Cricetulus griseus: one gene and its partner. The protein of the gene in region 1 purifies or fractionates together with the protein of each later gene. This does not show direct contact. Links are inferred from orthologs where the notes say so. Each region holds a gene or a part of one and is shown on either strand. Other genes may lie near its edges.

The links.
Region 2: the proteins of Notch2 (region 1) and Dll1 purify together in Homo sapiens (affinity purification with western blotting; 3 studies listed by BioGRID). This does not show direct contact. The link is inferred for Cricetulus griseus from reciprocal best matches to the Homo sapiens genes NOTCH2 and DLL1.

What each region holds. Positions count from the first base shown.
Region 1 is NW_023276806.1:58,331,859-58,335,828, reverse strand, and holds the end of Notch2 (neurogenic locus notch homolog protein 2), read left to right. Parts: coding exon 1-453; 3' UTR 454-3,418; downstream 3,419-3,970. UniProt on the Homo sapiens protein: Functions as a receptor for membrane-bound ligands Jagged-1 (JAG1), Jagged-2 (JAG2) and Delta-1 (DLL1) to regulate cell-fate determination.
Region 2 is NC_048595.1:294,338,732-294,343,033, reverse strand, and holds the start of Dll1 (delta-like protein 1), read left to right. Parts: upstream 1-1,200; coding exon 1,201-1,254; intron 1,255-1,481; coding exon 1,482-1,775; intron 1,776-2,384; coding exon 2,385-2,445; intron 2,446-2,642; coding exon 2,643-2,900; intron 2,901-4,302. UniProt on the Homo sapiens protein: Transmembrane ligand protein of NOTCH1, NOTCH2 and NOTCH3 receptors that binds the extracellular domain (ECD) of Notch receptor in a cis and trans fashion manner.

The DNA of each region.
Region 1 (3,970 bases):
CCTCAGACGCAGTCCAACTGCCCTCCAGCTGTTGCAGGCTCCTTGCCCCCTATGTACCAGATCCCAGAGATGGCCCGTTTGCCCGGTGTGGCTTTCCCACCTACCATGATGCCCCAGCAGGAGGGGCAGGTAGCTCAAACCATTGTCCCAACCTATCATCCATTCCCAGCCTCTGTGGGGAAGTACCCCACACCCCCCTCCCAGCACAGCTATGCCTCCTCAAATGCTGCTGAGCGAACCCCCAGTCACGGCGGTCACCTCCAGGGTGAGCATCCCTACCTGACACCATCCCCAGAGTCTCCTGACCAATGGTCAAGCTCTTCCCCCCACTCTGCTTCTGACTGGTCAGATGTGACCACCAGCCCTACTCCTGGAGGTGTAGGAGGAGGTCAGCGGGGGCCTGGAACACACATGTCTGAGCCACCACACAGCAACATGCAGGTTTATGCGTGAAGAGTCTGCCTCAGGCATAGAGATGAAAGTGCTTATCGTACATGCTGCTGAGGAACAAATGAAGGTTATCCGAAGAGAAATGAAGAAACCTCTGTAACCAGCTTTTGGAGGCAGGAGAGAAGATGCTCCCAACTTTCCGACAAGCGAGAGAAGCATCGTATTCATCTTTACTGAATATCTGTGCACTTTTAGAGGCGGACTCAGCTCCTACTAACCTGTGACCATCGGGCGAGATCATGGAGATGCGAGATGAATACAAAGAGGCTCACTCTCTTCTTTTTGGAGAATACGATGGAGGCCTTTTATAGCCAGACATTCTTGCAGCTTGAACATCATTTTAAGCCCTGGGGGCTTCTGTATCCAGGAGGAGATTCTGCTGGGAGTCAGACTGGGAATTGTGCCTGGGATTCTGCCCAGGTCCACCTGTCTTATCTTCTCAACCCTGGAATTGGCCTTGACTTCACTTGGTGCTGTCCTCTCTGCACCTGTCTGTGGTTGATCCCCATCAGTGTGTAATAGGCAAGACTTTTGTGCTTTTAATCATTCCTGCCCTGGAAAACAACTCCAGCCTCTGTCCCCACATGCCCACTACCCCAAAGGAGCCTCACAGGGTTTACTCTGGTTATGGTTCACAGCCTCGGCCTTTGAAGTATGCTTCTATGGAAATGCACACACTGCAGTCTTCATCTTTCATTCCTGAAAGGAAGGAGAAAGCAAGATATTTGGGGGATAGGAGACCCCTTCAGAACCTGCACCTTAATTCTCTTCCCCCGCATGTAGGTGTGGGGCCCCATATGCACTCACCAGGGGGAGGATATAAATTGTTCTTCTGTGTGTTGGCCTATTCAGTATAAACGTGTACTCTAGGAGACCTGGGTACTATGATACTCCCATTGTGTTGTAAAGCAGGAAAAGTAGGAGAATGTTGGAATGACCAAGAGATAAGCTAACTGGCTCAAGAAGCAATTGCCCACCTGCAGGCCCTCCACTGACTGCCACTGTGAAGCACATTCATCCCCAAATTCTGGGACTCATTGATCCAGCAGATGAAGGGACTCTTGGCTGCTGCACTGATCCTCAGAGATTGCCACTTAGGACCGAGCTTGCCTGAGGCTCGGGGGACTCAATGACTGTCACCTTCCTTATGACCAGTTTTCTTCGAGGCCAGAGGCTGGTTTATCCGTTTCCCTCCACACTGTGTGATCTGAGTCATTGGTACACACAGTTCTCAGTAAAGACATGGGATCTGTGTCTGGGTTGCAGAAGTGGAGAATGGACAGTCCCCTGAGCACACGTGATGAAGCAGTCTTTGCTCGTCTTTGCTTCATTTTCTTCTTTCTCTAGAGTCACCTTCAGCTGATGATGGCTGAGACTTGCTCTGCATTGTCCTTGTGTTCAGATTAAGATTGTACCTCATCCAAACCTGCTTCTTGTATTGTGGTCTCAGTGGCCTTTGTCAGATGTAAAACTAGGACGGTGGTTTTCTCCATCTACCCCTTCAGTCAGTTAATAATTGGCCGTGTGGTCATCTCATCACTTCCCCCTGGTGCCGGGATGCCCATGACACAAAAAAAATGAGTTCTGCTGAAGCCTTTGTGTATATTAGTAGGTAGATTACCTGGGGGGGGGGTTGCTTGTTTGTTTGTTTTAGGTTTTGTTGTTGTTGTTGTTTTAGCAATAGTCTTTATTTCTGGAGTAGTTGAAATAAGTGTCCCCCACTCATTTGTCAGTTTGTGAACCCCTGTAGTAACTCTGTGTCTGTTACCATGGTAGTCTATAAAAACAAATGGGGATTTTTTAGTCCCATCCAAGTTCATTCAATCAACAAAAACAATTTGTTCCGTCCTGGTCTATGGCAGATTACATTTGGTCATTTGGTTTTATTCACATGAGGTAACATCATCCTACCAGCCCTTTTCATGGTGTGCAGACATTTTACTGCCCTAAATGGTGACTGTCTCCCCATGGACAGTCCCAGATTAAGAGAGCCTGTGTGTGTATGGACCTCTCTGCCCCCAGCTCTAGTGCCACTGCCTGGGAACAGCCTCTAAGCCAGGCACTGGGTCTGTAATACCCTGGTCCTTCCCCAGACACAACGGAGAACAAATTTGCTGTTTCTCCCTCCAGGATCTCTCAAAGTAGATCTTTAGGGTTTAGGAGGAGGGATGTAGAAGCTGCCATTACAGACAACGGGCTACAGAGATGAGGACAACACTGCCAATTATACGTCTGGCCCATGCTGTAGATGTTAGAACTCTTGACCTATGTAGGTGTTTAGGAAAGGGAGGGGTGCATAACCCCTTTCTCATGGGGTCTGAATCAGAGGTTAGGTTCTTATAGGACATATCCTTTAGTCCATGCATAGACCCCTGTTTTGGATTTATTTTTATTTCCATGAATTCTTCCTTCCTTTGACTTCCACATGCCTTTGAGAATTTTTTTAATTTGTTCTTTTTTTTGTTTTAAGCATTGTTTTCTGACTTATGTGATGGTGGGGGAATTGAAGGAAAGAGACTGAGTTAAAGATTTCAATGAAAGGCTTCAGCACAGGTCTGCCACAGCACTTGATTGAACTTGGTCGCTCGAAAGCCTTGCATAGAAAAGAACCAAAGGTGTAATAAGGTCTGTTAGCGTGTGGTTTCAGAACCTAGACTTGAACCAGCGCCTTGAATGTATGAGGACTATTTGGAAGGACACATGTCTATGTCCTGAGGCCCCCACCCATAACTATTTTGGTACTATGGCAACTTCCTTGTGTACATTTCCCTGAAAAGTGACATTATATCTGTTTGTATGAGAAACTCAGTAACCAGAAAATGACTGCATGCTCCTGACTATAAACATAGGAAGGAAAATGCGTACTGTTTTTACTTTTAAAAATTTTCATTCTACAAGTAGTTTAAGATGAAATTTATATGAAAACATTTTTATCAAAAAATAAAAAAAGGTTCCATGTCAAGGCTCAGTGAAATCATGCTCCACTCTTTTCCGACTCTGGTGCTTTGTTCTACCGTGATCGTCTCATGAGGTCATAGTTGGTGAAAGAAACTTAATTTTCTTCTTCCGGAATCTTAAAAAGCCTGGTACTGGGGTTCTTTTATTTTTCTCGTTTAGTTTGATCGTAAATAAATGCTTCTGAAGGGAAGGTTCCCATTCCCTTTAGTTCAGAACATTATAACATTGAGTCACTTTACACACCTTAACCACAGCTGGTGGCCAGCAGACAAATACTCAGGACCAGGTACCTCCCAGTGAAGTAGAGAATGTTTGCTGAAGCAAGAGTTGGGAATTGGGATAGAAAAATCTACTGATGCATTTATCCAAACCTGATGGTTTATATGGACTTTCATATAGGATATAATATATAGGATTATAAAATAATACTGGAGCACAAATGCATTAACAAGTACATTGATTTTTCAATGAGACATGAGTACTTGGTGGTGATGCAGTTGTGACATCAGTAGCCTCATAGCAACCCTAACATCTAGCTTATTTCCATATTCTATTGTTTTAT
Region 2 (4,302 bases), on another chromosome or scaffold:
TTAGGCGGCCAGCGTGGGAGACGCGAGTGTCCGGAGGCCGTGTCCTGCGCGCCAGACTAGCGGTGACCGCGGGTGGGAGGCGCAGGCCGCCCAGCGTGCCTAGGGTCTTCCGGCCTTTGGCGGTGGGAGACGCGGCGTCAGCTCCAGCTCCAGGAGCAGAGCCTTTCGTCGCAGCGAACATTTTGCAGGAATGTAAATGAGCGGGTTTTGCGCTGGGGGAGGGAGGCGAAGGGGCGAGGGCGGAGGCAGAGAGGACTAGGGGGCGGGGAGGTGGGGGCGGGGAGGAGGGTTGCACATTTTACAGCTCACTGACCATTTGGCGATCCATTGAGAGGAGGGTTTGGAAAAGTGGCTCCTTTGTGACAGCTCTCGCCAGATTGGGGGGCTGCTCATTTGCATCTCATTAGTTATGCGAGCGGCCGGCGGGATTTAAGGGCGGCAGGCTCCTGCCTCGGCCAGATCCTCCGGCGTGCACCCGCGGTTACCCTGTCTGACCGAGGCAGGTCACGGGAGAGCACCGGTGCGGCACGGAGCCTCCCACGCTTCGGCCTCCGGTCCTGGGTGTGTGTTCTCGCATGGCATTGGCTGAATTCTTGGGGAAGACGCGAGGCTTTGCGGTGGCGCAAGAGATACCGGTCCAGAACACTCTGGGAGCGGCAGCGGCCGCCGAGTGACGCCCGGCCGGGAGGGAAAGCAGGGCGCGCGCCGCAGTTCTTGCCACCACCGCCGTCCGATCCCACCGCGCCCCTCGGGGCCCCGGATTATCGCCTCACCGGTGGGATTTCCAGACCGCCGCTCTCTAATAGGCCTCTGAAGGAAGCCACTGCAAGCTCTCTTGGGAATTAAGCTGAACATCTGGACTCTCTTTCCTCTGTGTCTTCTCTCCTTTCTCCTCCTTTCCCTCCGCGAAGAAGCTTAAGACAAAACCAGAAAGCCGGCGACCCTCACCTACTCGTGGACTGAAAGCCAGAAGAGGAAACCGAAAGTTGCCCTTTCTCAGTGCCTCGCAGAGCTCTGTCAGGGACGTATCTGAAGCACCGCACCCTCTTTAAGCAACTGGCTCTGGTTACCACACCTGGAGTCGAGAGACGCCTTTTCCCCGGAGCTCCTCGGCTCACATAGACTTTCCTGGCATTCCTGGGTCTTTGAAGAAGAGAGAAAAGAGGATACTCTAGGAGAGCAAGGGCGTCCAGCGGTACCATGGGCCGTCGGAGCGCGCTAGCCCTTGCTGTGGTCTCGGCCCTGCTGTGCCAGGTAGGGGGCCGGGCGGGGCTGCTGCGCGGTGGAGGGAGGGGAGCCGGACGAGCTGATCAGCTGTCCATCCCCAACTGACTCCGGCAGCTACGACCCCCGAGAGCTGCCCGGCAGCGGGCGGCTCCGGACGGGCGCTGCGGTGCGCTCGGCCTCTGCGTCCTAGCAAGGGCCCGCGCGCCCCGGGCCCCTCCGCCGCCAGTGCGTCCTCACGCCCCTTCCCTGCGCAGGTCTGGAGCTCTGGCGTATTTGAGCTGAAGCTGCAGGAGTTCGTCAACAAGAAGGGGCTGCTGGGGAACCGCAACTGCTGCCGCGGGGGCTCAGGCCCGCCGTGCGCCTGCAGGACCTTCTTCCGTGTATGCCTCAAGCATTATCAGGCCAGCGTGTCCCCGGAGCCACCCTGCACCTACGGCAGCGCGGTCACGCCAGTGCTGGGTGTCGACTCCTTCAGTCTGCCTGACGGCGCAGGCATCGACCCTGCCTTCAGCAACCCCATCCGTTTCCCCTTCGGCTTCACCTGGCCAGTGAGTGGGCACCTGCGCGCACCCGGCTGTGCCTGGAGGGGTAGGGTGGCGGGCGGGTGGCTGGCAGCGGGAGGAAGGCAGTGGCCACTGATAAGGGTTGGAGAATCCCACAAACACACGCCTGTGGTCTTGACTTCTTCCCCGGAATTGACCTGCAGTCTCTGGAGGTTGAGGAGGGAATATGGAGCACCAGAAGCCTTGGCAAGCCCAAGGCATTTTCTCACACATCTCTGTTCTTATCTGGAGGGTCTAAAGCTTCTCCCTTCCCCTCAAGATTGGGAGAGTTCTTGTTCCATAGCTCCCAGGCCTGATTGTGTCACTACTAGAGCAGTGCTCTCCACCCTCGAGGTTCCAGCCCCAGAAAACTAATGACAGACACAGACCATCCTCTCCTCTTCCACCACCCCTACCTTGTTGGCTCAGTACTCTCACCCCTTTAAAACAAACACAATATTATGTATTAACATATTAAAGAGAAAGCACACACGGGAAAAACTCTAAAATTATTCTGTTTTCTTAAGGAAAGTGTTAGGAATTGACCCTCTCTGGCACCTCCCCTTCCTCCTCCACACTTGTGGTTTATCATGCACCGTCTCCCCCTTTTCCCAGGGTACCTTCTCTCTGATCATTGAAGCCCTGCACACAGATTCTCCGGATGACCTCGCAACAGGTAAGTCTCCAAACCTGAAAACCGTGCAAACTCCTTGTTGATACACATTCTATTTTGCCCACTCACCCAAGTCCTCTGATGCCTTCATTCTGCACCTGGAGTTCAGAGTCCAATCCATGTTGACAGCATCCCCACCACTCCCTCTGTTCCCGGGCTCTGAGTGTTATCAGAACCAACCTGAGCATCTTCTCTCTCAGAAAATCCAGAAAGGCTCATCAGCCGCCTGACCACGCAGAGGCACCTGACTGTGGGAGAGGAGTGGTCTCAGGACCTTCACAGTAGCGGTCGCACAGACCTCCGGTACTCTTACCGTTTTGTGTGTGATGAACACTACTACGGAGAAGGTTGCTCTGTGTTCTGCCGACCTCGAGACGATGCCTTTGGCCACTTCACCTGCGGGGAGAGAGGGGAGAAGGTGTGCGACCCTGGCTGGAAAGGCCAGTACTGCACTCAACGTGAGTCCTCAGGAGGATGACTCCTAAGGGTCCATGTATGGGGAAAGACACAGGACTTAGCAACAGGGGATGGCACAGATGGCTCAGTGGGGAAACTGAGGCCTAAAGAGCAGAAGTGTCTTGCTAAGGTCTTGTGGGCAGTGGCAGAGTTAGGCTCAACTCAGGCATTTTAACAAGGGAGACCTTGTATCCACTGTAGGAAGCTGCTTTTCTTCACAGGGAGGAGTTCAGAGACAAGGCCAGGGGTCAGGAAGTAAGGCTGTGCTCTCCCTAGGGCCTTTGTATTAGAAAGGGAAGGGAGGAAGGAAGGGAGGGACAGAGAGGGGATGTGGAGGGCTCATTTTCCAACAGTTCTCCTTGCTGTGACAATGTCTCTTTGGGAAACCCTCCCTTTCCTCCTCAGAGTTAGGGTGCCTGACCTGCCCACAGAGTAACCCATTTCCAAAGATCCCCTGTGTTGAACCCTGAGTGTCCTGTAGGGAAGTCTTCAGTCCTTTGGGTGGCAGGAAGCTGGCAGGTGGGCTGAGTGAGGCACAGAGCAGGGCCACGGGGTGAAAGGCACCTGGCATGTGGTCTAAATGCTCATAGCACAGTCTGTAAAGAAATGCAGTAACTGATGTCCTGTAATGCTCTTGCAAACCAGGGGATCAGGGCCATAGGGAGGACTCCGGCTCTACTTCTGGTTTTCAAGGACCTCAGTGGGCCACCCTCCAGCTCTCTGAGGCCTCAGCTGTTCAACCTGTAGGAATGGCATTTCCTTCCAGTCAGGGCTTGGTGAACTTTTGTTCTCCTGCCCTGGAGCAGTTGAACATTGGACTCTGTGAGGCCCAGAACCTCTCTGTCAGTGCCTAGAGGAGGATATGGAGCAGCTTTCTAGATTTAGTTTTTGCTTGAGGATGAAGGGGTCCTCACTCCAGTGAGAACCTGAATGTCATTGTTGCTTAGTTTCCCATATCCTTGAGGGCTTTGGAGCTCCTTTGATGGCCCGCCTTGGCCAGAGCTGTATGTTTTCTTAAGAGCTGGAGTTGCTGATCATTAATGAGTTTCATAACCAGGGAAGTGAGCCAGCTCAAAGCTCCAGCCTATGCCCCCCACCCCCCCATCTTCAGGCTCTCTGGCCTCCCACTGTAACTTTCCTCTCTAGGGGCCAATGGTTCTGGGGTAGCCAGAAATATAAACTTTTCTTCTTATTCAAACGCTGGGGTTTCTCCCCGCCCTTGCTTACACGTGCCATAGATTAGATCTCTCTGAGGATAGGCGGTAGGGACACTGTCTGTTCCCATTGGTAGAAGGGTATGTGCACACACGCGCTTATGTGAGTGCATACACACATGCTCAGGCTGGGGGTTGGGTGGGGGCAGCATTGTTGTGCTGGGGCAGCTGCGGGAAGGAAGAGACAATG